7 linked regions of the Cricetulus griseus genome follow. Each later gene encodes a partner of the first gene's protein in a complex. Links are inferred from orthologs where the notes say so. Each region holds a gene or a part of one and is shown on either strand. Other genes may lie near its edges. The genes, in order: Brd8, Morf4l2, Anp32e, Meaf6, Epc1, Ruvbl1 and Ing3.

The links.
Region 2: Brd8 (region 1) and Morf4l2 share a complex: the UniProt entries of both Homo sapiens proteins name them as parts of the nuA4 histone acetyltransferase complex. The link is inferred for Cricetulus griseus from reciprocal best matches to the Homo sapiens genes BRD8 and MORF4L2.
Region 3: Brd8 (region 1) and Anp32e share a complex: the UniProt entries of both Homo sapiens proteins name them as parts of the SWR1-like complex. The link is inferred for Cricetulus griseus from reciprocal best matches to the Homo sapiens genes BRD8 and ANP32E.
Region 4: Brd8 (region 1) and Meaf6 share a complex: the UniProt entries of both Homo sapiens proteins name them as parts of the nuA4 histone acetyltransferase complex. The link is inferred for Cricetulus griseus from reciprocal best matches to the Homo sapiens genes BRD8 and MEAF6.
Region 5: Brd8 (region 1) and Epc1 share a complex: the UniProt entries of both Homo sapiens proteins name them as parts of the nuA4-related complex. The link is inferred for Cricetulus griseus from reciprocal best matches to the Homo sapiens genes BRD8 and EPC1.
Region 6: Brd8 (region 1) and Ruvbl1 share a complex: the UniProt entries of both Homo sapiens proteins name them as parts of the nuA4-related complex. The link is inferred for Cricetulus griseus from reciprocal best matches to the Homo sapiens genes BRD8 and RUVBL1.
Region 7: Brd8 (region 1) and Ing3 share a complex: the UniProt entries of both Homo sapiens proteins name them as parts of the SWR1-like complex. The link is inferred for Cricetulus griseus from reciprocal best matches to the Homo sapiens genes BRD8 and ING3.

Annotation. Positions count from the first base shown.
Region 1 is NC_048595.1:202,876,478-202,879,977, forward strand, and holds the end of Brd8 (bromodomain-containing protein 8), read left to right. Parts: intron 1-30; coding exon 31-75; intron 76-1,452; exon of another isoform or gene 1,453-1,809; intron 1,810-2,177; coding exon 2,178-2,237; 3' UTR 2,238-3,079; downstream 3,080-3,500. UniProt on the Homo sapiens protein: May act as a coactivator during transcriptional activation by hormone-activated nuclear receptors (NR). Isoform 2 stimulates transcriptional activation by AR/DHTR, ESR1/NR3A1, RXRA/NR2B1 and THRB/ERBA2.
Region 2 is NC_048604.1:43,656,890-43,660,934, forward strand, and holds the start of Morf4l2 (mortality factor 4-like protein 2), read left to right. Parts: upstream 1-1,245; 5' UTR 1,246-1,353; exon of another isoform or gene 1,354-1,378; intron 1,379-2,190; exon of another isoform or gene 2,191-2,300; intron 2,301-3,037; exon of another isoform or gene 3,038-3,333; intron 3,334-3,607; exon of another isoform or gene 3,608-3,761; intron 3,762-4,045. UniProt on the Homo sapiens protein: Component of the NuA4 histone acetyltransferase complex which is involved in transcriptional activation of select genes principally by acetylation of nucleosomal histone H4 and H2A.
Region 3 is NW_023276806.1:60,578,861-60,582,360, reverse strand, and holds part of Anp32e (acidic leucine-rich nuclear phosphoprotein 32 family member E), read left to right. Parts: intron 1-320; coding exon 321-490; intron 491-3,500. UniProt on the Homo sapiens protein: Histone chaperone that specifically mediates the genome-wide removal of histone H2A.Z/H2AZ1 from the nucleosome: removes H2A.Z/H2AZ1 from its normal sites of deposition, especially from enhancer and insulator regions.
Region 4 is NC_048595.1:27,952,502-27,956,001, reverse strand, and holds part of Meaf6 (chromatin modification-related protein MEAF6), read left to right. Parts: intron 1-974; coding exon 975-1,167; intron 1,168-1,577; exon of another isoform or gene 1,578-1,714; intron 1,715-2,034; exon of another isoform or gene 2,035-2,162; intron 2,163-3,500.
Region 5 is NC_048596.1:208,059,950-208,063,876, forward strand, and holds the start of Epc1 (enhancer of polycomb homolog 1), read left to right. Parts: upstream 1-1,127; 5' UTR 1,128-1,389; coding exon 1,390-1,542; intron 1,543-3,927. UniProt on the Homo sapiens protein: Component of the NuA4 histone acetyltransferase (HAT) complex, a multiprotein complex involved in transcriptional activation of select genes principally by acetylation of nucleosomal histones H4 and H2A.
Region 6 is NC_048601.1:54,816,484-54,819,983, forward strand, and holds part of Ruvbl1 (ruvB-like 1), read right to left. Parts: intron 1,580-3,500; coding exon 1,428-1,579; intron 1-1,427. UniProt on the Homo sapiens protein: Possesses single-stranded DNA-stimulated ATPase and ATP-dependent DNA helicase (3' to 5') activity; hexamerization is thought to be critical for ATP hydrolysis and adjacent subunits in the ring-like structure contribute to the ATPase activity.
Region 7 is NW_023276806.1:205,262,019-205,266,023, reverse strand, and holds the start of Ing3 (inhibitor of growth protein 3), read left to right. Parts: upstream 1-1,205; 5' UTR 1,206-1,338; coding exon 1,339-1,366; intron 1,367-1,597; coding exon 1,598-1,669; intron 1,670-4,005. UniProt on the Homo sapiens protein: Component of the NuA4 histone acetyltransferase (HAT) complex which is involved in transcriptional activation of select genes principally by acetylation of nucleosomal histones H4 and H2A.

The sequences.
Region 1 (3,500 bases):
CCTGATCAGTATTTGTTTGTCCTCTAACAGGACAGTGTCCCCATGGGCTCTCCTGCCTTCCTTCTCTCTCTCTTTGTAAGTATTGAATGGCTGCAAGGGGTGATGTTGCCAGAAAAATTCTCAACTCCTGCTGGGCCTGGGTGGCAGAGGGAAATCCAACATGCAGACTGTGGCAGTGTCTTGAAATTCTTTTTATCCATTGAATAAGAAATTCTTTTCTTCTGCATTCTGGTCTCTTTGCATGTGTGTGTATGTGTGTGTGTCAGAGGGAGGGGGCTGGGGGAACTGCTGTAAGATCACTGCACTGAAATATGAAGTGTTCTTGGGGTAAAGACCTAGGATGCACCTGCTCCTCATTTCTTGCTTCCACCTTTTACCAGTTCTTATGAGTGGAAGATAGCTCAGAGCAGCACCTGCTGCTTGGCTTTTTAGCAGTATTGGTAGATATTTAACACACACCTTTCCACTTCCTCCTAACTAAATTGAGAGACTCCACAGATAAACCCTCACTAAAAATTAAGCTGGTAAAGGTACTTGCCATGGGAGTGACCTGAGTTTGACCCACAGACCCCAATGAGAGTGGAAGGAGAGAGCTGACTCCACAGAGTTGCCCTCTGAACTCCACATGTGCAGCATGGCACGTGTGCTCCTACACAGACCTCACACGCAGGAGTGGTAATGTTTTTAAAGACTTTTTAAAGATCTCAGTAGCAGTGACTACTGGATGCAATAATAGCTGGTGAGATTATAGATAAACATAATAGATCTAGCCAAAAGGCTTTTATTCTTTTGCTCCATAAATTAAATGACTGATTCTGTTCATGGTAGAGCAGTGAAGTAAGGGACAAAACATGCTGAAAACTACATGGTCTTAAGATCATTAGCTAACCTTAATTTTCTCCTCTATGTGATAGAAGTAATAATGAGTTGAGGGCCAGGAGGATTGCCCGCAGGATCACTGCATGCCTAGGCTGTGGAGTAAGACCCTGTCTCAAAAAAAAAAAAAAAAAAAAAAGCAGGAGGGAGTACTAGAGAGAGGCACAGAAGTTAAGAACACTTGATGCTCTTGGAGAGGATCTGGGTTGGGTTTCCAGCAACCACATGGTGGCTCACAACTGTCTGTAATTCCAGTTTCAAGGAACCCAAAGCCCTTTTCCAGCCTCTGCAGGCACTGCACACTTGTGGTGCAAGTATACACATACAGGCAAAACATTCATACACATTAAATGAAAATAAGTCTTTAAAAAAAAAAAAAAAGAAGACAAAAGAAAGAGTAAGATTGAGGTACCTGTCCAGCCTACCTCACAGGGATGTTGTGAGGATAAAATAAGTTATAAAATTAACTTGAAAAAAACTATTAAAACGTTACACAAATGCAAGGTGTTATTTCTATTCTTACTGTTGGCTGTTGGCAACTTATGTTCTAAAAATTTTTTAATCCTTGCATATTAGAAATACAGAAATGGTCCGGCCCAGCAGAACTGTTCACTAGTTCATCTTGCCTGTAGACCTGTACCACAAAGAGAACACTGTGATCTCTATTCTTTCTTATTGGCCTGCAACAGTGACTCTGGATCCTCATTCAAGTGGCTGGCTATTGCAAGGCCGGTTAATAAGATCTTTTATCTATGGAAGACAGCAAAGTTTTGCACAAGAGGAAGGAGCTGGGCTACAGGGAGAGAGCAGCAGATGGAAAGAAGCCTGATTGTCCTGATGTCATGGAAAACAACTGTCAGGAGGTGCTAGGGAACTAGTGCCAGGGTCAGTCTGCAGGAAAGGCCTTTCTTATAGGGACCAGCAACTGGACAGGTATGTTAGCCAAGAGCTTCACTACCCTTTCTGCCTCTCCCACCTTTCACTTTCTCTTCCTGTTCTTTACACACAGTGTGGACCTGGGTGGGATGACTGGTAGTCATTCTGTGGGACCTCAGATGAATTTCAAAGACCCTTTGTATTGGCATGAAAAAAATGCTAGTCTTAATAGTTACACTCACAAAATGTCAGGTGTTCTTTTAGCTACTCTGTGGGAAAACAAAGTCCCTTCCACTTCATACCTTTGGTATTCTCTGTAGATTCTTTCCCCCAAGAAATCAAATTCCCAGCATTCCTATTGTATGTTGTCTCTTAACAGGTAACCAACTCACTCATGTTTCTTTCCTTTCTTTGATGTTGTTTAGGATGGGGGAACCAGGGGACGCCGCTGTGCCATTGAAGCAGATATGAAAATGAAGAAGTGAAGCCTCAGAGTTCCCTCTTTGAGCTGAACCTGAAATAGAAATAAACAAGATATAGCTTGGGCTTGTGGGCTCAGGTCTACACTTGATCTTAGTCAAAAGGCTGAGAAGCAGTATGGGCCCAGAAGAGAAGGTTCCTGGGTCAAATGACATGAGTTGAGAAAAATCTCTTTTCAGAGAGTTGGAGTAGCACAGTTGCCCGTTTTAGGGCAAAAATCATGGGCTGTGTTAGTGCCCTAATGTGTAGCTAGAAGATTGTAGCTTATTTGTATTATCTTGTGAAGTGTACAGACTTTTTAAAAAAATAAACCTGTGACGTGTGTGTATATAACAAATAGAAGGAAAACTTTGGCCTTTGGTGTGTGTCCTTTGTGTTTGAAATGTGTTTTCTTCACCATACCTAATCATATATGGGGATAAGATTGTTAGAGCTGAGAAGTGGTCTTATAAGCTGTCTGCTGCAACTGAGAAGAGGTGAGTAACCAAGACTGAATTCATAATTGTGTGAATTAAGTGTGCAATAAGGGCTATTGGGGTTTTCTTGAATGTTTGGGAAACGTTAAGGTTTTCAGGATCTAGTTCATATATAATTCCACAGGGATTAGAGTATGGACAAAGGTGGCAGAATATTGTCAGGAATGTTTTGTGCCAGGACTGACAGCAAATGCTATCAGTATTTCTATAGGTAGAACTCTTGTACAATATTCTTTTGTTTTTTGAGGTGGAGTCTCTGTATTTTGACAAGGCTAGAGCTCAAAATCCTCCAATTTCAACTTCCCCCGTAGCTTGGATTACAGGTGCATGTACCACATTGGGCTAAGTGATTTAAAAAAAAAAAAAAAAAACAAAACAAAACCATGCACACACAAAAAAACTTATTGTTAAATTTATTTATTTATGTAAAGGTTTATCTCTGAGAGTTGGGAAGTTTAGGGCTGGGAATGTGTTTTGATAGTATAGTGGTGCAGCTCTCAGCTAGTGTTCTTGGCAATCTCCAGTGCTGGGGGAAGGAAATCACTGGAAAACAACATGGTGGCACATACCAGTAATCCCAGCACTTGGGAAACTGAGGCAAGGGGATAACTGACTGTTTGAGGCCAGCCTAGGCTTCAGAGGGAGACCTTGTCTCAATTGGTGGGGCTTGTGTGATGTCTCAGTGGGTTCAGGTGCCTGCTACCATGCCTGACTACCTGACTTTGGTCACTGAAACTCATACGGTGGGAGGAAAGAACTGACTCCTGCAAGTTGTGCTGTGACCTCCACATA
Region 2 (4,045 bases), on another chromosome or scaffold:
CTCAGAACAGTCTGTGATTCCAGCTCCAGGGGATCTGATGCCTCTGAGCTCTGAACTCATGTCACGTACCCACACGCAGATATATACACCTACACATATATAAAAGCAATGAAATTAAAATCCTAAAAAAAACTTCACCCATATGTGTACAAATAGATATCGTTGATAACTAGAACAGATATTTGTCAGTTGATTATGGTGTACAATTTTGTTAAGAAAAAAAAGGCCAGGTGTTGGTGGCTCACACCTTTAATCCCAGCAGAGGCAGGCGGATCTCTGTGAGTTCAGGGCCACCCTGGTCTACAGAGCGAGTGCCAGGACAGGCTCCAAAGCTACACAGAGAAACCCTGTCTCAAAAAACAACAACAACAAAAAGGCAAATGGGGAAAAAGACCCTTAATACCCAGGAGTTGCTCAATAGGTGTTATTTTTCAAAAAGCCAGTGGTGTTGGCACATGCCTTTAATCCCAGCACCTGGGGAGGCAGAGGCAGGTGGATCTCTGAGTTCAAGACCAGCCTGGTCTACATAGTGAGTGCCAGGATAGGCTCCAAAGCTACACAGAGAAACCCTGTTTCGAAACACCACCCCCCCAAAAAAAAAGAAAAGAAAAAATATTTAATGTAACATCTAAAATACAGAAAATATTTAAAAAATTGAGGGTCTGGCTGGGAAGATGTCTCAGGGGGCAAAGCATCTGCTGTTCAACCATGAGGACCTAAGTTCCATTCCTTAGAAACTATATAAAAGCTGAACATGGGACTCGTATCTGTAACCCCAGTGTTTTAAGGGGGATTATTGCTAGGGATAGGCAGATCCTAGGAGCTTGATGACAAGCCAGGATCTTGTAGCCCATATAGAATACTCCAAGTATACTGAGTGACGCTGCCTCAAAATATAAGGTGGACAGAAATAGAGGAAGAGACCTAAAATGAAGCTGACCTTTAGCCTCAACAAGAACAGGCAAGCACTCCTGCACACATGTGCTTATACACGGAAATAAAAAAAAATCAGGGCTACATCATCATTTGCCCTGAAACACAAGGCAAGTAAGTATGAAATATGTTTCACTATTTACTATCTGACTCTAAAGATACAAGTTATGCAAAATGGAATGAGCACGAGCAAAGTAAAAAAAAAAATGCCTTTTAGACATGTAAAAACAGCTTAGTCAGGAAATGCTCTACACCCGAGGCTGCATCTGATAACCAGAACCCAGTGACATCACTCACTCAAGATAACCAGACACAGTCCTAGAATCCTATGACGCTCTGGCCACTATATAAGCAGAGACCAGGAGCTTGTTCGTCCTCTGTGCACCTGGAGAAACGACACCTTGATCTACCCTGCGGCTGGTGAGTCTCCCCGGGGATCCTGACCCTAGAATTAGAGACTTTTGTTAGAGACTCTCAACTGATCTTCAATGATACGTTGAACAGGCGAGCAACCTTGGGGAGATAGGTTTAGGACTGTAGTTAGAAATTTAACAGTGTGAACTTTGTGTGATGACCCTCCGCATAATGAAATATCACTTTTTTATACCAACTACACATACTTAACTTCTTGCTCACAAAACAGAAACACCACAAAAAATTAGGGTGCAAACACACATATCTGCTAAAAATTTCAAGGGGAAAGGACGATATTTTTTAATACTGAGGTCTAACTTTACCTCAGAGTTAACTTTACAGACTGACTATAGTCGCCTGCAATTAGCATTTGGAGGAACTGTAAGTATTTGAAAATAAAGTGGGCAAAAAGTGAAAAGAATAGTCTTTCATTAGTTTTTTTTTAATGTAGAGACAGGATCTCAACAAATAATCTAAACTGGTCTTCAACTTGGGGTCCTTCTGCCTGCTGAGTGCTGATATTGTAGATGTGCCACCAAGTCCCACAGAGGATTTTAGCACCAGCCTTTAGGCTCATTTATTAATTCTGAGTAAAAAAAATAGTACAAGGGGAAAGAAAATCTGGAAGAACAGATGGCTTTTCTTTTTAAGGAAAGAAATTAACAAAAATCTTTGGGTATATAATTCCCTGACTAGCGTTGTTACTTTACAAAACTTGATTGTATTGTTCTTTGGGATTTTAAGATATATATATATATCAGAGATTATTGAGTTCATCAATTAAGACGTGGGTGGAGCAAAAAAAATAAATCTCCCAACAAGTGCTCTGCTGGGATTTGGTGACATCTAGTGGCAGATTCAAGAGGTATAAACCTCACCCAGGGAACTTTCTGGAAAATTGACCGAATGCATATTTGCCTGAGGATCGCTATGCTTGGAGACTAGGCCAAAAGGTAGGTGAAGGTTAGAGCCCAGAAAAACTTGGAGGGGTCTCTATCATAGGTGAATTTAATTCTGTATGTTCGTATTATTTCTGCCAATTATGCAGTAAGTTTGGTGCAGGGCAAAGGGGAAGGTCTCAGTGATAGACAGGAGGGGAGTATACTTGGAAACTTTAAAGAAGTGCCCCTTTACTAATATAGTTTTGAATCTTAAGCATGCGAGTTTATTTTGGTGGAGTAAAATGTGAGAATAAAGAGCATCTATATAATCTAAAATTAAATCTGAGTGGAGTGGCGCATGCCTTTAATCCCAGTACTCGGGAAGAAGAAAAGAGAAAGGCGGATCTCCATGAGTTCCAGGCCATCCAAGATTATATTAGCGAGACCGGGTCTCAAACAACAGACACACACACACACACACACACACACACACACACACACGTAAAAAAATTAAATCGGCGGGCCTTTTCTAACAAAAGCCCTTTACTTCTGTTACTAGTAATTTTCCTTAATTATTTTCCTTTCCATTAAAGCAGTTTGCAAACATTAAAAAAAAAAAAAACAGCAATCCACCAATATAAAGAGCGGTCAGGGCCCCTCCCGCCACAGCAAGGAGTGCACGCCTGCGCACACCCATCACCTCCGGCGCCACGAGGGCTGGTGTGCACCCACAACCACACTCGGCGGCCACGCGAGCCTGCCCGCGAACATACACCCCGGTGCTCACGCCATCCGCCCGTGGCACTCACCACCCTCACACACACACATCAAAACCTTCGTTATTCCTTTTTTTTCTCCTGTTCCGAGAGTTGCGCAACAAGCTCGGGGGCGTGGCCCGAGGTTTGACCTCGCTCTTCCCACTCGCGGGAACCTTAGCTCATTTCCGCCTATCCTATTTCCGCAAGCCACGTAGACACTTCCTTTCCCAGTGGTGCGGGGGCGGGGGAGGGGAAGGGACCCACAAACCCATAATGCCTCCCTGCAGGAGAAGAAGAGAGCGAGGGAAAGGAGGTGGGGGTAAAAAAAACCCACGGTCAGGGGAACTCTGGGTCGTGAAAATAGGCCACGTGAACACGCTGCCCTATAGACTTATGACCCAACGGCTGTAGCGCATTTGGAGGGCGGGCTCAGAGCCTAAAAGGGCGATTGTGATTGGCCGAAATCCGCACTGAAGAAGGACGGTAATTGGTTTGATTTCGGCCCTAACCATGAAGAAGCAGGTTGCTAGCACCCGCCTTTACTGCGGCGAAGTGTCACTGCTGACGTGCGAGCCTTGATCCAATCATTTGGTTATGGAACATTCTAAAACTGAGACAAGACGACTATGATTGGCTGAAACGCTAAGCCCACCCCCTGGGTGACGTGTCTGCCTATGGATATCAGTTGCCAGAGAAACCTGGCTTTACTATGGCGGTTGGAGGAGCAGCAGTGATCACACGTCGGCTGCTGGAAAGAACTGGATTCTCGTTTCAGGTTTCGGGGTGGGGGTGGGGAGGAAGGGTCGATGATTTCCTCTTTTCTTCGTGTCTCTAGACAGGATTAGCTAGTAGCTTCACATTCAGGCAAAGCGGGATTCGTATCCCGACTCGCCAACGCCCAACTTGGGCAAGGCTCCTTTCTGTGTCTCGGTTTCCATGTTTGTAAAACGGTGATAATAGTACCCATCTCAGAGACGTGGACTCAGATGTGCACAGTAATAGTGCGTGTAAGGTATTCAATGTGAAGTCTGTCTCCGAACGATATTAGAAATTGTTATT
Region 3 (3,500 bases), on another chromosome or scaffold:
TTTTTTTTTAAAGATTTTTATTTATTTATTACGTATACAGTCTTGTGCCTGCAGGCCAGCAGAGGGCACCAGATCTCATTCAAGGTGGTTGTGAGCCACCATGTGGTTGCCGGGAACTGAACTCAGGACCTCTGGAAGAGCAGTCAGTCAGTGCTCTTAACCGCTGAGCCATCTCTCCAGCCCGGTTTTTTCTTTTTGAGACGTAACTCCTGCTATTCTGGAACTCACTAGCTAGCCTTGAGATCTATCTCCTGTGCCTCTGGGTGCTGGGATTAAAGTTGTGCCCAGCTATTTGCTCATCTTTAAAATGTTTTTTAAAGATGGAGATGAAGATGAGGAGGATGAGGAAGAAGATGAAGCTGGGCCACCTGAAGGATATGACGAGGAGGAGGATGAGGAGGAGGAGGAGGATGAGGACGAAGCCGGTTCAGAAGTGGGAGAGGGAGAAGAGGAGGTGGGCCTTTCATACTTAATGAAAGAAGAAATTCAGGTGAATGGAAACTTGATATTTGTACACAAGGCTGAGTACTGTAAAGTGAGTTGTGCGTTATTTCCTAACTTGTGGGTAAGCATCTGTCCGTCTTCTCTTCCAGCTTCCTACTTACTGGACGCTCTATAGTGTATCCAGACAGCCATGAACACTTGGTGGCTTTTTTAGTTTTTAGTTCAAGGACAGTTTTATTGAAAAAACAAAACAAGAAACTCCCAGGGTAGGCAAGCTCTAAGTCCCAGCAGCTCCCTGGAGGAGAATGGAGGGGAGAAGAGAAAAAAAACCAAAGCTGGCATTGAGGTCAGACACACTTTGGACAAGCAGTCACGTGGCAGGGAAGGGGGCTTCAGAGAAGGAGTATGGAGACCCCAGTTATCAGAAAAAGTATTGGTTTTGGCCAGCATCCAAAGAGAGAAAGAAAAAGGCAAAGTTGCCTCTTTCTGACTTGGGTGGGCTTCAGATGGGCAGACTCAGCCAGATGTCAAGGTGGCTCCATTAGAACTGTCATTGCTTGTTGCTTTTTATCTCAGATAATTGATTCTGCCCCCAGTGCCATGGGATGGTGAAAACATTTTATGAATCTGAGTCTATAAAGTACCTAGTTCCTTGTTGGCACATTATAGACACTGCAGAGTCCTGGAATAATGTGTTCCCTCCAATTATCTCTTCTTGCTTTATACTTCTGCATCTCCCAGTAGCTTTCCTCCTCCTTTTTTTTTTTTCCAAGAAAGGGTTTCTGTGTGTAGCCCGCCGTCATGGAACAAGCTGTGTAGCCCAGGCTGGATCTCAATGACAGCTTAGAGCTATCCTCTACAGTGCGCCTTTATAGTATGCCGATGATAAGACCAATACTTGCCTTCTTGATAGATGCCACAAAGCATGCATCATTATCTGTAGTTTTTCTTAGGTAGTGATGGTTAGGTAGATAATATCTGATGAATGGTTCTTATTTTCCTGATACTATTTTTAAATTTGAAATGAATTACAATTTGTTATTATACAATGCTCTCCCTGCATGTATCCCTGCAGGCCAGAAGAGGGCACCAGATCTCATTACAGATGGTTGTGAGTCACCCTGTGGTTTCTGGGAATTGAACTCAGGACCTCTGAAAGAGCAGCCAGTGCTCTTAACCTCTGAGCCATCTCTCCAGCCCTAAAAATTGCACTTTGAAGTGTATGAATGTGTGGGGATGGACTTATTTTACTCTGTACCCCAGGCTGGCCTTAGACTCATACACTGCATGCTGCCATTGAATTTGTGGCGGTCCTCTGACTTCTGCCTGCTGAGTGCTGGGATCACACAGACATTCACCACTCCTGTTTTAAAAGTTACTTTCAACCAACTGTGGGATAACTTACATTTAGGTATATTATTCTACTGAATGTTTGGGAATATTAACTCAAAATGACATGGCCAAGCATTAATCAGAAATCTCTGAAATATATATAGCATTAAGTTTGTGTGGGGCCAGGAAGCATTTTCATTCTAGATAGGATAGTTTGGGTGTTCAAAAATGAAGTCTTAGCTTAGCTAGGTATGGGGTAGGTCATCACCATAACCCCAGCAGAGGGTGAGGCAAGGAGTTTAATGATAGCATAGGCTACCTAGTATGCTCTAGGATAGCCTAGGCTACAGAGGAACCTTGTCTCAGAACAAACAAACCAATAAACCCAAAAGTTCTTGTTTTTAGGAGCTAAGTGCCAGGTAAGCATCAGACTTCTGGTAATCAAAAATAAATAAGAAGGAAATGGCATATTTGATTATGCATTTTATTTTCCTTAAAAGTTATTTATTTTTATTATGTATGTGTGGGTATTTTGCCTACATGCCTGTCTGTGTACCGCCTGTGTGAATGGTGACTACGAGGCCCAAAGAGGGCATAGTATCCCTTGGAGCTGGAATTACAGCTATTTGTGAACCAAGTGCTGGAAGCAGTACCTAGGTCCTCTTCACTATTAATCGGTGAGCTATCTCTACAGGTGGTTATTTTTCCCTTTTCAAGATGGGGTCTTATTGTGTAGCTCAGGCTGTCTTTGAACTCATGGTCCTCCTGCCTAAGCTTCATAAGTGCTGGGATTACAGGCTTGTGCCATCACACCTGGTTTCTTGCTTATTTATTTATTTATTTATTTTCCAGACAGGGTTTCTCTGTAGCTATGGAACCAGTCCTGGAACTCACTTTGTAGACCAGGCGGGCCTCAAACTCACAGAGATCCTCCTGCCTCTGCCTCCCGAATGCTGGGATTAAAGGCGTGCGGCACCACCGCACTGATAAAGATTTATTTATGATGTGTACAGTGTTCTGTCTGCATGTATGCCTGCAGGCCAGAAGAGGGCACCAGGTCTCATTACTGGTGGTTGTGAGCCACCATATGGTTGCTGGTTATTGAACAGCTAGTGCTCTTAACCTTTGAGCCATTTCTCCTCCAGCCCATCTTATTTTTAAGAGAAAGAGAGAGAGAGGGAGGGAGAGAGAGAGAGAGAGAGAGAGAGAGAGAGAGAGAGAGAGAGAGAGAGAGAGAGAGTGCACATGTTGTATGCATGCATGCATGCATGTTTCTGTTTTTGTGAGTGTTCATGTTTGTGAGTATGGGTCGTGACATGCATGGGGAGATCAGAGGACAGCTTTAGATATCAGCAGGAATCAGGACTACAGGTGTACATTGCTGAACCCAGCTTTATGTGGGTTCTGGGGAATCCAATCTCTGTATGATCACATTCTGAGTCATCTGCATGAAATAAGACACAAAGTTGAGTAGTAGTGGTGCACCACTGGAGAGATGGCTCAGCCATTAAAGGCTAGGCTCATAACCAAAAATTTTTCTTACTTGTGTATATCTTTCTTTCCTTCTTACTCTGCGGTGGTGGCTGGCCCTGACGTTTTCTTATTCTCTTGCTGCTGCTTTTTTTCTCTTTCAGTTTATACTCCCTGCCTGCCAGTCCTGCCTATCCTCCTTTCTGCATCTCTGTTGGCTGTTCAGCTCTTTATTAGACCGTCAGGTGTTTTAG
Region 4 (3,500 bases), about 170 Mb from region 1:
AGAATACCAGGCTACACAACCATAACATATATGCAGAGGGCCTAGGTCAGACCCATGCAGCCTCCCATTGTTGGCCCAGTCTCTGGGAGCTTCTGGAAGCCCTAGTTAGTTGATTCTGTGGGTTTCCTTGTGGTGTCTGTCCTTGAACCCTCTGGCTCCTACAATCCTTCATCCCCCTTTTCCACAGGATTCCCCAAGTGGGTACCTTTTCTCTACTAACTATCTATTGATTTATTTATTTTTAAGTTTTATTTTATGTGCATTGGTGTGAAGATGTCAGGTTCCCTGGAATTGGAGATACAGACAGTTATGAGCTGTCATGTGGATACTGGGAATTGAACCCAGGTCCTCTGGAAGAGCTGTCAGTGCTCTTAACCGCAGAGCCATCTCTCCAGCCCTGTTATTTATTTATTATTTTTAATTATATTCATATGTCTGTATGAGGTATGTTCATGTGAGTGCTGTGGGCACCCAAGGAGAGGTGCCGGCTATCCTAGAGCTGAAGTTTTAGGCGGTGAGCCTCAAAGTGAATTCTGGGAATTAGTCTCAGGTCTTCTGAAGAGCAATACATGCTTTTAACCTTGGAATAATTTCTCTAGCTCTCCCCACACCCCATAACGCTTTGCAGAGAAACAGGATTCTCTGCTGGTTTGTCAGTTTTGCCAGGGTCATCAACCCTTATCCTCTGGATGTAAGTCTTCCTCTCTTGTGTGTACTCTTTGTTACATAGCCCTTATGTAGTAGGGTGGTGCTTATGTTGCCATCTGGTTTGTCTTCAGCACTGTCGTCCGGTTACACTGTTGCAGATTGCATGGTTTCCAGGAACTCCCTAGCTTTGATACTTTGAATGTCCATCCCCTGTCAGCTTGTATCTTCTCTGTCACATGGCCTGTGGGCTCACAAGCAGACATTTGCTGCTTACAAGAATTTGGGGAATACTGATCAGGCTTTGGAACCTATTTTCTTTCCTCTAGGGGAACCAGGAAGTGGGACAGAAAGCGATACTTCTCCTGACTTCCACAATCAGGAGAACGAGCCTGCCCAGGAGGACCCCGAGGACCTGGACGGTTCCGTTCAGGGAGTGAAGCCCCAGAAGGCTGCCTCCTCTACCTCCTCAGGGAGTCACCACAGCAGCCACAAAAAAAGGAAGAATAAAAACCGACACAGGTTAGTGGCAAGGTCCCACCCAGTCCCAGAGTTCTCATGACTACTGGGAGGGACTTGGTTGGAATGAAAGTGCCTGGGACAGTGGCAGAGCCCTCATGCTTCGGGTGGCAGAAATCTTCTGGTGCTAGTCCAGTGGGCTGGTGTTCTCTGAGGGAGGAGTGGGTGGCAATAGAGAGGCCCCGCAGGATCAATGGGAGCCACCACGATGGACTGTGACTCCTGAGCATTGGGTCCTTGCTAAGAGGAAAGTGGAACTAGAAAGACTCTGGTTATTGGGAAGCTGTGACCTGGGATGGAGGTTCTTTGAGTCCTGGGCCCCGTCTGCTCCTATGAGAGCTGAGTTGCCATGCCTTCCTTGACTTTTTAAATATGGGTTTGGTTTTGATTGTTATGACTTTTCTATTTTGTAGTTCTCTGAGTATGCTGCCTTCAGATACGGGGAAACACTTAAAGCTCCTAAATGCGAGCATTCCTTCGTAGGAACCACCTGAGCACTGCTACTTTTGCAGTGGGAAATGAGATGGGGATGACACCAGTGCACAGAGAGGTCAGGTGTCTCAGGGGGTTTAGTGGTCACTCTGCCTGGGTTTGTATGCTGATGCTGGGCCTTAGCTCAGAGGGTGATGAGTCTGCAGGGCAAGGGGCTCTCCCTCATCCTGGTCTTGGAAGCCTGAACACTTTGGGGGTGAAAGGGGTGTGCAGGGCTAAGGAATTGCATTGCATTAGAAAACTTCGGGGTGTCCCTTCCTGCACCTAAGGTGTTCCACTGTGAACTTCATAGACGTGGCACTGTGGCTAATATAGAATTAAATTTAACTGGTTTCAACCTCTTTAGTTTTTAAGTTTTTCTTGTTTTTTAAATTGCAGAAATAGTGTTTCCTCCAAATAAATAGTGCTGAAGGACCACCGCTTTACTGTTTTCTGCAAACCAAAAACCACTGTGCTAATCTCAAAGTATAGTAAGAAACAGCAAAGAATTGTCCCCTACCATCTTGGTAAGGATGTAGGTTGTTGGAGCATTGCGGTAGGCTTGGGGCTACCTTATCACAAACAATAGAGACCCATACTCTTTTTAAAGAGTATTTTGTGGGCTGGGAAGATGGCTCAGTTTGTAAAGTGCTTGCTCTGCAGGCTTGAGGACCTGAGTTCTAATCCCAGCACCCACATCAAAGCACTCAGTGCATTGTATGTGTCTGTAAACCCAGCATTGGGGACATTGATATCCTGGGGGCTTGCTGGCCAGCCAGTCTAATAGAAGTGATGGGACCCTTTCTCAAAGACTACATGGAGAAACACCCAGCATTGACCTCTGACCTCCATATGCACACACATATATACTACATACACACAAATTGGCAAGATAATTCAATATTTTCTTCTGTGTTGTTTTTATTACATTTAGTTTCTTGTCATTTTGGGGATTCTTTTCCTATTTCAGAGTGTCTAGAGCAGGGAGACCATTCTTGAAAGTCCCTGGGACTCTGCACCACTGACCAGTGTCCTCTCTAGATCCTGCTGGTTTCGTGTAACACCTCATTTGCACTAGCGATGTGGGCAGCTCTTGACTGGTGAAAGGCGCTAGAGAAGTGTTCCCTTTAACTGTCCTTGCAGGGTTCTAGAACATCTCCATGGAAATAACAGTTCTTTCTTATCCCTCCCTTTTCCTGGCCCCAGGAATGAATCCCTTCCAGAAACACACTAGCGCTTAGAAAGACAGTTCTTGGGGACTGATCTCCTAAGGGGCAAGTCTGGCTTAGAAGGTGGACTGGGTTTTTAGCTCCAGAATTCCTGCCTCAGTGGTGGCCTCCCAGGGCCTGGTGTGCTCATCGGCCCCCAGAAAGGCTTGTGGCACACGTTGCTTTGTTTCTTAGGAAGCTGACCCCAGCTTCCTAAGTGGTGTCTCAGTGGGCTAAGGCTGTTGCAGTCCTCTTTGCTACCTTTGTACACTCAAGGGCAGGGGTGGAGCACATTATTCATACACGCTGGTGAGCTGGCACCCAGAGCAGCGCTTCCTTCTCCACTGTGCGGTGGCCCCTGTAAGTCAGGCCACGGTGACAAGATGTCCAAGGACTTGCCACATGCCCCCATTTGAGGAGAAGCAGGAAGTAGTCGAACTTACCATTTACCCCCCCCCCCCAGGAGGGGGGATGGAACACAAAGCTTCAACTGTGCTAGTCAAATGAAAATCGCCAGTTTTCTAAATTCTTATATTTTACATATCTGAACAACAGTTAAGTCCCACTGTCTTTAAAGAGAAAAAAGTAAATACTAGCTGCTCTTAGAGGTTTTTACTATTACATCATACCCAAGATTTGTTTTTGTAAATCATTGCT
Region 5 (3,927 bases), on another chromosome or scaffold:
ATAGAAACAAACCTGAGAGATAGTTTGCCAGTGTACGCTAAACTAATTAACAGTTCATATCAAACCCTGTATTTAAGAATAGTGATTATTTTTACTATGTAGCCCTCAGGGAGAAAAGCAGACTTAAAACAGGTTTTTAAAACCGTGATGAACATTTGAAATTTTGCCGCCAATCTTTCAAAATCCACCCTAACAGCCCTCCCAGTTTATAAAATATCTCACTGAAAAGAGATACCTGGGTACTAATTTTCATGTATAATACAAACCAAATATTCAAAGTCTTATCAACATCTATTTTTTTAATAAATTAACTTTTAATGTCCCTTTTCTGGTGTGGCCGCCGAACCAATACAGGTCTTTGATTCGATTTTATAAAGTTTCCCAGAGAACAGATGGCAAGAGTGTGAACCTACTTACGGCTGCATTGAAGTAACGTTTACTTCTAATACTGCCGAAATGCACCAGCTAGCTAGCGACACGGGCTCTGGAATTTGGAAACTGTGTTTCACCAAAGATTGTTACAATTTGCCGCAATTATCCTGCGAGCGTCAATTAAACTAAAAGGGGTAGGATTGGATAAAAACTGCTTTGGAGCTGAATATATATATAAGTGGTATTTATAGCGAGCCCCGGGTGGGAACTTGACCGGCGATTTGATGACAGAACCTGTTCAGAATTGTAACTCAGTTTTGTTTGACTTAAAGAGTTGGCCTGTGATTTCGCGTGCAGGTTTATTTCTAAGTCCTGCACCTCCCGCACTGCGCTGCGCTGCGCTGCGCTGCGTTGCGCTCGCCCTGCGCGGCCAGCCCCGCGGTGACAGGTGCCCGCGCCCGGGACGCAGGCCCGAGCATCCCGGCCGCTCTTGGCGGCGGCCTTTCCAGGGCCCCGCGCGCGGGCGCCGAGAGCTCGTCGCACCTTCGCCCGTCCGAGGACCGCGCCGGGCGGACGCGAGGCCGCCGGGCGGAGCGGGTGAGGCGAGACGAGACGAGACGAGGCCGGCGGCCGCGGCCGGCGGGCCGGGGGTTGGCGGGACGCGCGCTCCGTGCCGCGCCGCGCCGGCGCCCGCTCGAGCCCGCGCTCCCCCCGCGCGTGCCCGCGCCGCTGCGCGATGCAGTGTGGGGAATGGCTGGGGTTGGCTGAAGAGCGCACAGTGGAGTTTTAATGTCCGCCATGTTGGCCATGGCGTATTGAAGAGAGCGAGTGAGCGAGGCGCGGAGCGGCACAGCCTCCCACCCTCCCGGCTGGTGTCAGGGCCCGGACGGCGGGCTTTGCGCTCCGCCCCCAAGTCCCCGGCAGCGGCAGGCGAGTGGAGACCGAAACCCCGGTTCTCCATGATCCCGCTGGCCGGGGCCGTTTCCCCAGAGCGGAGAGGTATCTGCTGCGCCTGAGATGAGTAAACTGTCGTTTCGGGCGCGGGCGCTGGACGCCTCGAAGCCGCTGCCGGTCTTCCGCTGTGAGGATCTGCCCGACCTGCACGAATACGCCTCGATAAACCGGGCCGTGCCGCAGATGCCCACCGGAATGGAGAAGGAAGAGGAGTCGGTACGTGTTAACTCCCCTGTCCGACCCGCCGCCAGGCCCGCGCCCTCCGCTGCCCGCGGCGGCGGCGGCGGAGCAGCAGACCCACACAAAATGGCCGCCATCTTCTCTCCGCCGCCGACTCTCGGTCGCCGGCCGGGCCGGTCCCCCGCCTCCCCGGTGCTCGGTCCCGGGCCGCTGAGGCCTAGCGGGGCCCCCTCGAAGGCCTTCCGCCGCCCCCGGCCACTGGTACCCGGGTCCCGCGGAGTTCGGGGGCCCGAAAGGCACAAAGGGGTCACGTGACGAAGCCGCCGGCAGCCATTTTGTGGTCTCAGTTCTTGGGTTGGGCCTTGTGCATCCGGAGAGGGAAGCGGGCTGGGCGGCGGTGGGGGTGCAGCGAGCCGGGAGTGGGCCGCGCCTGCAGGTCCCTCGTAGGGCCGCTGGGTGGCGCTCCGGGCCCGCCGCGGCCTGGCAGCGGCTGCCGGCGCAGGCTTCGGGCGCGCTTCCCCGCGGCTCGGTGCAGTCCCCCACGTGGAGCCTCCGAGGGGCCTGTCATGTTGACTTCAGGGCTCAGGCTGATTTCTCTCCCGATTCCTGCAGGAAAATGCCGAGGGTGCCCCTTGTCTGCCCAGACGCCTTTACTTTTAGAGAAGATAAAACTCCCGGTATATGCTTGCTTGCACCGGCTGTGCTTGTTAACCCGGCGGATTTAAAATAAATAAAAGAACCCACTGTCTCCCCCAACTTTTTGATCTTTGAGACAATGTTGCAGATTTGTTTACAATATTGTATCTGTCCTCTGCAGCCTGCAACTTTTTAGTTACTTGTAAGTTAAATTTGGGTTTGCCTGCTTTCAGAGTAACGATGGAGAAGACTCGGTTCAATAACTCTTAAAACTATAAATTTTGAAAGAAGGTCCTTTTTTTTATTAATAGCCGAGCTAAAGTTGAGTGAATTCTTCACAGACATCCTAACATTAAGATGTCCTAACTGGGTGGGCTGCAGTAGTTAAATTGTTTATACAGCTAATGATTTACTTTAGCCGTGGCCTTTACCTTGCTGTGGAAGTTGGGTCCGACACAGAGATAAGAGAATCTTCCTCTCATTTCCCCTAAATCGTTAACATTTTAAATTCTAATTCTGAGGAATTGCATACGTTGGTTTCCAGGTACAGCCACTTAAACAGGGTGCTTTGTGTTGACAGTTCAAGGAAGTCAAGGATTCCCATGGACTTGTGTGCTCCAATTTTGTTGTGGAAAATTGTACTGTAATACTTCTGTGGTACTGTAAGAATTTTCTATTCTCTGTAATGTTTTTCAAAATAAAACTCTTCAAACTGCTTGGGTTGTTTAACCTTTTAAAGTAAAATAGTTTTGACAGTCGAATGTTACTTTGGGGCGGAGGGTCTTGAATCTACCTTCACAGCTGAGTGCTAAGTGTATGTAGTAGATGAGATGTGTGGGTAGTGTGCTGACTTCTCAGCAGCTTATTTGCGAGCGCAGTGCTCTTTATTTTGACCTGTATCAACTTAGAGTAGAATGGTGCCATTTGTTTATTTTTAAAATAAGTGATTTGTTTTTTTAAAAAATTAAAGTACTTGTGACTGCAGAATCTTGTCTTTTTGTTTTATTTTTGTTTCTCTATGTAAGTTTTACAGATATTGCTTTCAAGTTGGGGTGCTGGTGATACCCTGCTTGAGGGATTAACTTGTAGCTCTTGTGAATCTAAGGTGGAAATCATTAAGCAAGAGCAAGACCCACAACAGTGCACTTTAGAAATGGAGTTAGGTCTTGCTTATCTGAGTCTTTTGGACAGTCCCAAGAACTACAATCTAAAACAAGAGCTGAGTTCAACTTAAGGGTCTGTCCATGCATATTAACATTTACAGATAATTTCGGTCACTGAAACAGTCTTGGTATTGTGCAATGACTGTCACTGGGTTTTAGCAGGTGAAGGTCCAACTTTTGTTAGATATGGGGATTTCCTTTTTCCCCCTTGAGGGTACCTTTTTCCATCATCTGTTTAGAATTTTTCAAGTCACAGCCAATCAAAACTGTATATAAGTGAAGCCTAGATTGTTTGATAGAACTTAAAATCCTTCGTAAACAAACTGTGTGTGTCCAGCTGCTAGTGACAGGCTATGTGAGTCATGGTATTGAAGGTAGTATGTTGTGTAGTATTGAAAAGTACCAAGCATGATGTAATTCGGAGGTAATCTTTTGTACTTGGAAAAAGAAGAGTTAAAGCAAAGTTCATGGCATGTGGCCTATGCTTCCTGCCAGGTCCTGTAACCTGGGACCTGAATTGACTGTCCAGTTTAGAAAAGGGCATATACTCTTAATTTAGTGTCAGTCTTGAGACTGTTAAGACATAGAATCTAGTTATCATAATCCAACTTCATGGATTAAT
Region 6 (3,500 bases), on another chromosome or scaffold:
ACTTTCCCCTTATTTTCCTCAAGGAAACCGTCAGGGTAGCCTTACAGGCAGGTCAAATTTAAGTTGCAGGCCTTTTAGTATAAGGTACACTCAAGAATATGCCGTGTGTGTGTGTGTGTGTGTGTGTGTGTGTGTGTGTCTGTCTGTCTGTCTGTCTGTCTGTCTGTCTGTCTTTCTTCCTCTCAAATGTTTTATACTGGTTAATTTCCCAAGTGAATTGGCTGAAGTTGTGATTACTGAAAATGTGCTGCCTCCTACTAGGAAACCTCAGGAGTACAGAATGAAGCCTGAGCATTGCGTTCAACAGAGAGATCTGCCGAGGCAAGCTCCTGGGATGAAGAACCCTGTTAGGAAAAAGAGAAACAGCTCTTTGAAGAAGTGACATTTTTATGCTCTCTATAAAACAGTGACCAAGAAACAACCTCACAGAATCACAGAAGCAGAAAATTCAGAGTGGAGTAAAGAAAGAGATTACACAGTTGATTTGGCAGCTTAGATGAGAAACTGGGCCCAGAGAGCCCAAGTGACTTCCTGGGATTGTACAGCAAGCTGCAAGACAGATACATAATGCTGAGATCAGAGCCAGCCCTGCCATGCACCCTGGATGGGCTAAAGCAGGCTGCCTGTCTTCTATGAGCAGCTGCTTCTATGGGAGCTTTGTTGTGTGTACACACATGAACTGGCAGTATGTGAAGCGTCTGTTGAAGCTGTTAGCTCTAGGTCAAACACACACTCAAGCAGGGTGTGTGACGTAAACCAGCCACTGTGGCAATAACTACTGCAGAGCTATGACAGGCACGAATATCCACCTCTCATTGTGGATCTAAAACTACAAGTTTCGCCATACCACTTGCCTGAAATGGAAGAAGCAAAGCTAAAAGTTAAAACAAGAGGGAAACAAAGCTAAAGATTCCCTTTGACTTTAAAGTCTATGCTTTGATCCCAAGCATCCCAGCTTGTGTCCTAAAGGATGATAGGATTATCCTCTATGGTCAGAGACAAAGTCCCACTCAGTACACCGCAGGCCTCGAGCTTCAGCCCATGGAAGCCTATCCGGAGCTGCTGTCAGGGTTCTGCAGCCCACTGAGCTGTCTGCCTGCATCTCAGACAGATCCCTCGAGGTGCTGCTATCTGTGTGCATCAGAGGGCTAGGGCCTTGGATATGAAGGATCGATCATATGGGATATGTGAAATATGGCATGGCAGAGGCAGGCTCCTCACTTATCTACCGGTTCATTCTAATGTACATGTGTGGTTTCCTGGGAGGAAGAGAGCACAGCTACAGCAGCTGAGTTTTCAAGGGCCAGGTCCTGCACCATCATTTAACACCTGTGCAGCCCCACAGTCACGATGCACAGAACCCAGGCAGAGGTCACAGCATCCCCCAGAGCCACACAGCACTGGGAGGTTAAGCCCCACAGACTCACCTTCAGCTGTTTGGTTCCTTTGGCAGTTTTGAGCCCTATGATCACATGGCTGATAGTTTTGCCATAACCACCCATGGGGTTCTCTGTCTCACACGGAGTAAGCTCTGTCACCTCCCCTTCATAAACTTCCTTGGTCTCCTTTATCCGTAGCCCTGGAAGAGATGGCAAATGGCCATGAGAGATCTCTCAGATGCTACCTTTTTCTCACACACCCATACCCCAAAACTCTTAGTCCCAAGCATTCATGACAAATCAACTTTAATAACAGAAGTGAAAGGATGTCACGGTGTACAGAAAAGCAGTAGAGAAAAGCAGTGGGTTTCAGGGACCCAACTCAGGTTTTCAAGCTTGGCAGCAAGCTCCTTTCCCTGCTGGGTCATCTTGCCTGTTTTTTATTCATGAGATTTTAATCCATATACATTTCGATACGTGTCTCTCAAAAACAAGTACTTAAAAAATAATCTCAAGTGCCAGAGAGATGGCTCAGCAGTTAAGATGGCTCAGCAAATACAGGGTGGCTCACAACCATCTGTAATAAGATCTGGCGCCCTCTTCTGGCGAGCAGGCATACATGCAGACAGAAACTATATACATAATAAATAATTAAAAAAAAAAAAAAAAAAGAATTAACCATGAAGACCAGAGTCCAAATCCCAGCATTCATTTCAGGTGGCTCACAATCATTGGTCAGATGCCCTCTTCTGGCTTCCCTGGGGACTTGAGTGCGTGTGCACATGTGCGCGCCTGCACACACATGCACTTTAAGTCACAATACCATTGTTATAAAAATGACCAGTAACCCCTCAATATTGTCAGGTACCCAGATCTCACATTCCTCTGTCTAGGAAGTGCCATGTGTTGACATTCATTGCCTGCACCAGGGTATAGATGAGCTTTCTGTAAGAGATGGATAGGTTGAAACACATCTTAAATTCCTCTAAGGTTTTCTTTGGGCAAACACAAGTTAGATGGCAACTAGGCTCTACCTAATAGCTGTCAGGGGTGTTGACTATGGGATGGCTGTAGCACTGTGGTGTGGAGAAGACACAGGCCTAGGTCTGTCAGAGGTAGGGAAAGTGCGGGCCTGGCTTCCTGGGGCTGGCTTCATGTGTGCGCAGTGGAGCCGAGCACTAGCCCTGCAAGTGTGACAGAGTCAAGTGGAGTGTGGCTCAGAGAGATAAGATGTGCTTCTCTGCAGGGCAGGAGAGCTACAGAGTTGATGAAGAGGTCAAACTTTAAGAGCACAAGGCAGGGTCAAGGGTCGTCTACAATTGCTACAGGATCCCTTGCTTAGGAATGGGTGTCATAGATAGTGGGTTATTCTGTTGTTTTTAGGGGAATGAGAGACCGTTCTTATAGTCACTGATTGGTGAATAGAATCCCATGGATTCAGATGGTTAACAGCACAAAACAGATTTCTCTCCTTGGAAGTGCAGATCTGAGGGACTGTTGGGAATGATAGCTATCTAGTTCTGGGCTTGAATATAGAAAAACCCTTTAAAAACTGAGTTCAGCGGTGGGTAGGATAGCTCAGTGGGTTTTGTTTGTTTGTTTTTGGTTTTGTTTTTTTGAGACAGGGTTTCTCTGTATTGCTTTGGAGCCTGTCCTGGAACTCGCTCTATAGGCCAGGCTGGCCTCAAACTCACAGAGATCCACCTGCCTCTGCCTCCTGAGTGCTGGGACTAAAAGCGTGCGCCACCACTGCCCGGCCCAAATAAATGTTTAAAAAAATTTAAGTTGAAATCAGGGACCAGGGAGATGGCTTAATCATGTGCTCTTGCAGACGACAGGAGTTTAGTTCCCTGCACTTAGGCAGGACGGCTCACAACTGCCTGTAACCCCTGTAACCTCTCTCTCTTGGTCTGTGCAGGCACCTGCACTCATTCATACACACATTTAAAATAAAACAAAAATAAAGCCTTAAGGGTTAAGCAATCAGATCTCTCTTCTACACTCTACAGCACCTCCAGAAAAGCAGTACACACGAATACACGCACGCAGGCTCGCACGCGAATGCAAGCACACACACAAGCATACACACATACACACACACACACACACACACACACACAC
Region 7 (4,005 bases), on another chromosome or scaffold:
TGAAAATTTTTAAATTGGACATATAAATATATTCAGAGTAGTGAATAAATCTTAAAAATGTCACACTGGTTTTTATAAAATTTTGTTTTTTTTTTTTAATTTTTCTTTGGTGTGAAATAGGGTCTCCCACCGTCTAGGCTAGCCTCCAACTACCCGTGTTGCCAAAGCTCCCCTCGAACTGTTGACTCTCCTGTCTCAACTCCCCCAGTTTCGGAATTACAGGTAAGTAATAGATAGTGTAAGAAGGGATCATTTCCTCAAAACACAAAGCATGTATTTAGTGCACGAATTTTTATGAAAGGGATTTTAAGACAGAAACAGAGCGGTGATACACTCGTTATACTACTAGTGAACACTTGTTAGGGGTAGAAAAAGACGCAGTCCAGGACTTACAAACCTTAACCCGGATATTTACCCAACGTAAATTTGAATCATTGCTGGTATATCCCAGAATTGGATTAAATCTCCATAATTTATGGTTGGCCGTTATTTATTTATTTATTTATTTATTTATTTATTTGCAGGTGCATTAGAATATTACAACGAATTCGAGACACGCAGCAAAACATACTGGCTATTGCAGACAATTTTTGGGCATTTTTCAATTTGGGAAATGCTCATTCGATCCAGTCTTGGTATAAATATCTTAAAGTTACAGGATCAACAACAGTCAGCTGTCCCGTTTATATCTCAGGAGTGGATAACGAAGATAAATTCCAGCAGGGAGTTGTGTTCTAAACAATTCGAGTTTTCCGAACTTGGCCGATTATTCTAGCGTTTGGAACCTTTGCTATTTGCCTAGCACGGTTAGAAATCCATGACTCACAAACGGCGGGCTTGGAATCACAGCACAGAACAGGTGAAAAGTTGTTCCTAGTTCTGTCAGGCAGGCGCCTACAATTCCCGTCATTCCCCTTGCAAGAAACCCACAAATAAACAGAGGCACCGCATTTCGGATTCTGGCGTACCCGTTTCGCACAGCCGTGTGGTTTCTGTAGTTGCGACGCCTGGAGCTGCCCGCATGGATGGCCCCCCGCTCGGGAAAAAAAGACTACATTTCCCAGAACACCACGGGGATCCGCACCGGCCTGCTGACGTCAGCGCTCCAGGCAGCCAATAGTAACGCCGGGCGGCAGTGAGGCAGGCGCCGTCAGGCGCCAAAGTGGAGCCTTTTTTTTTTTTTTTTTTTTTTCCGTTTTTTTTTTTTTTTTCCCTTTGCCGGAGTCGAGCGGGTGCTGCTAGCGGAGGCGCCATATTGGAAGGGACAAAACTCCGGCGACAAGGAGTGACACAAATAAACCCCTGGACCCGTTCGTCCCCGCAGCAGTCAGGGCCGCGATGTTGTACCTAGAGGACTATTTGGAAAGTGAGTGCGCGGCGCCGGCGACGCGGCTGGCGGGATCGGCGGCGGGCGGGAGCGCGAGTGGCCGGGCGGGCGGGATGGCGGGAGGGAGGGGGAGCGGGGGATGTTTCTTTCTCACGGTAACTGGCAGCCTCGTTGTGAGCCGCCCCCCCCACGCACGCACGCACGCACGCGTGACGCCAGCGCGTAGCTTCGCCGTTGGCCCCGCCCTCTGACGGACTGTGCCTTTGACAGTGATTGAGCAGCTGCCGATGGACCTTCGGGACCGCTTCACGGAGATGCGCGAGATGGACCTGCAGGTGCAGAGTAAGTGGCGCGTCCCCGGGGCGGGCGGGCGGGCTTCTCCGCGCCGCTTTCCTCGGGCTGCCGCCTCCACAGGAGGAGGCTGGCCGGCACAGCACCCCGCTGACACGCGGGGGCCGGTGTTTGTGTGTGTGTGTGTGTGTGTGTGTGTGTGTGTGTGCGTGCGTGCGTGTGTGTGTGTGTGTGTGTGTGTGTGTGTGTGACACGGCACGGCGATGACGACATCGCACCGCGGGGGAAACTCGTGGTTCCCACAAGGTTTGCTCCTGAGCCTGCAAACTCCGAGTTCTGCATTCAGACTTAGGAAAAAGAGAGAAAGAAAAAGTTCATCCTATTCCCCGATCTCTCAAGAGTAAAACGCTTAGGATCGCAGATTGCGCGCGGCTCCCCCGGGGACCCGAGTGGGCTCGGCAGGCCGAACTTTGACAAGTTGCCTATTGCCAGAGACGCCGACAGCCGTCAACTACGAACAGGGTTATTCTCTCAGCCACAACGAGCCAGAGAAATAGTCATGATTGGAAACATGATGGACCTGCCCTTGATTGAAACGTTTGGACCTTGGGTCGGCTTTTCTACCCGTTTCTTCTTGTTTTGTAAACACAGCTCGGGGCGGTCTCACACTCACTGTGCATCAGAGTCTGGCCCTAGTCTCCTGCTCTACCTGCTTCTGCCTGCCTAGTGCTGGGATTTACAGGCATTACCCACCCACCGTACTGGCTCAGCTTTGATTTTTTTTTTTTTTTTCCTGTCCATCAGTGCTTGGTAGTTTTTTGTATTGTACTTATTTCCAAATTAACCTTGCTATTTTGAAAAGCCATATTGGAGGTGGCTCAAAGGCAGCCTTCGTTTGCTAGGAGTTGTTCTTTTCATTGTCAGTCCCTCACCACCACCACCCCCAACGACCCCCCACCACACACACACACACACTTATGTAACTTTTCTTCCGGAATGTACTTTGTACTTTCTCATCTAAGTCTCTGGGTCGTCTCTTTTGGGGGCCCATAGCCCCGTAGTCCGTCATAAGCATGTGACAGGTGTATGTGTGATTCTTTCCTTTTTGACTCAGTACAGTTGCAGTAGTAAACATTTAGCAAAGCACATTCCAAAGGGATTGATCAGAGCTTGATAGCAGATAGATTTGGATTCACTTTAGGGCCTCTCCAGTTTCTTATCCACCTTGGCTCTTTGCTGCCTTGGGACTTTTTTTGTTTTTGTTTTTTGTTTTGTAAAAGACAATCTGCTGATTTAAAATAATACATATAATTAGGATGTATAATACCTGTTACAAATAGGTATAGAATAAGGGATTATTTCAAACATTTTGTAATAGTTCAATTTTTTAAAATTCTATGATAGTTTGGATTTAGTCTATACATATTATAGGGTTTTTCAAGTTTAGTTTTTCTTATAAACTTGGTGTTTTCTGAAGTTAAAAGTGATTATGCATTAGGCAGGCGGTGGTACACACCTTTCATCCCAACACTCAGGAGGCAGAGGCAGTTGAAGAGTTCAGACCAGCCTGGTCTACATGAGCTAGTTCCCAGACAGGCTCCAAAACTACACTGGAAAATCCTGTCTTGAAAAACAAAACAAACAAGCAAAAAGTGATAATGTATTAACAAAAGTAGCAGCATGTCTATATTGGCAAATGAACTGAAAGTAAGATTTTTTTCTTAAGAAAATTAAGAGTAACTAGAATGTCTCAGAATCGTTTTTTTTTTTATATAAAGGTATTATGCACTGAAGAACTTTAAATGATGAATATAGTGAGGAAGTTTTTCTCCATTTCCATAACAGAAAAAATCCCTTTTATTTATTTGTCTTTTTTAGCAGTCATCCACTAAGGTCATTATTTTTGCATGGGCTTTGGAAAGCCCTTGCACAGAATAAATAGCTTCTGTATTGAGTGATTAAATGGCATCTTATGTAAACAAATGATCACACATTTCATACCTTCATATAACATGGTGGGGTGCTTGGTCTGTAATGCAAATGTTGAATATATTATCACTATTTTTATTAAAAGAAGTGTGGACACTCTCCAGTAGTACTCTCAGTAAGCAACTATGGTTGCCATAACCAGCTGACTTAATGCCATTAGCTGATTCAGTGCTGTGCTGCTCCAGGGCTGTGGCATACATCCTTGTCTGTGGGTTGACTCTACCTTGATTGTTGGAAGATGTTTTGAAATAGCAAAAGTCAGTACAGCTTTTTAAAACTAAGGTAATTAAGGCATTACTGCTTGTAGAATTGAAGCAGAGTGTGTATAAGCCACTAGCAAACTGAAACAGTACATGTTGTCAGACTTCTTTTATTTCCTCAAATCAAAGCGTTTGGTC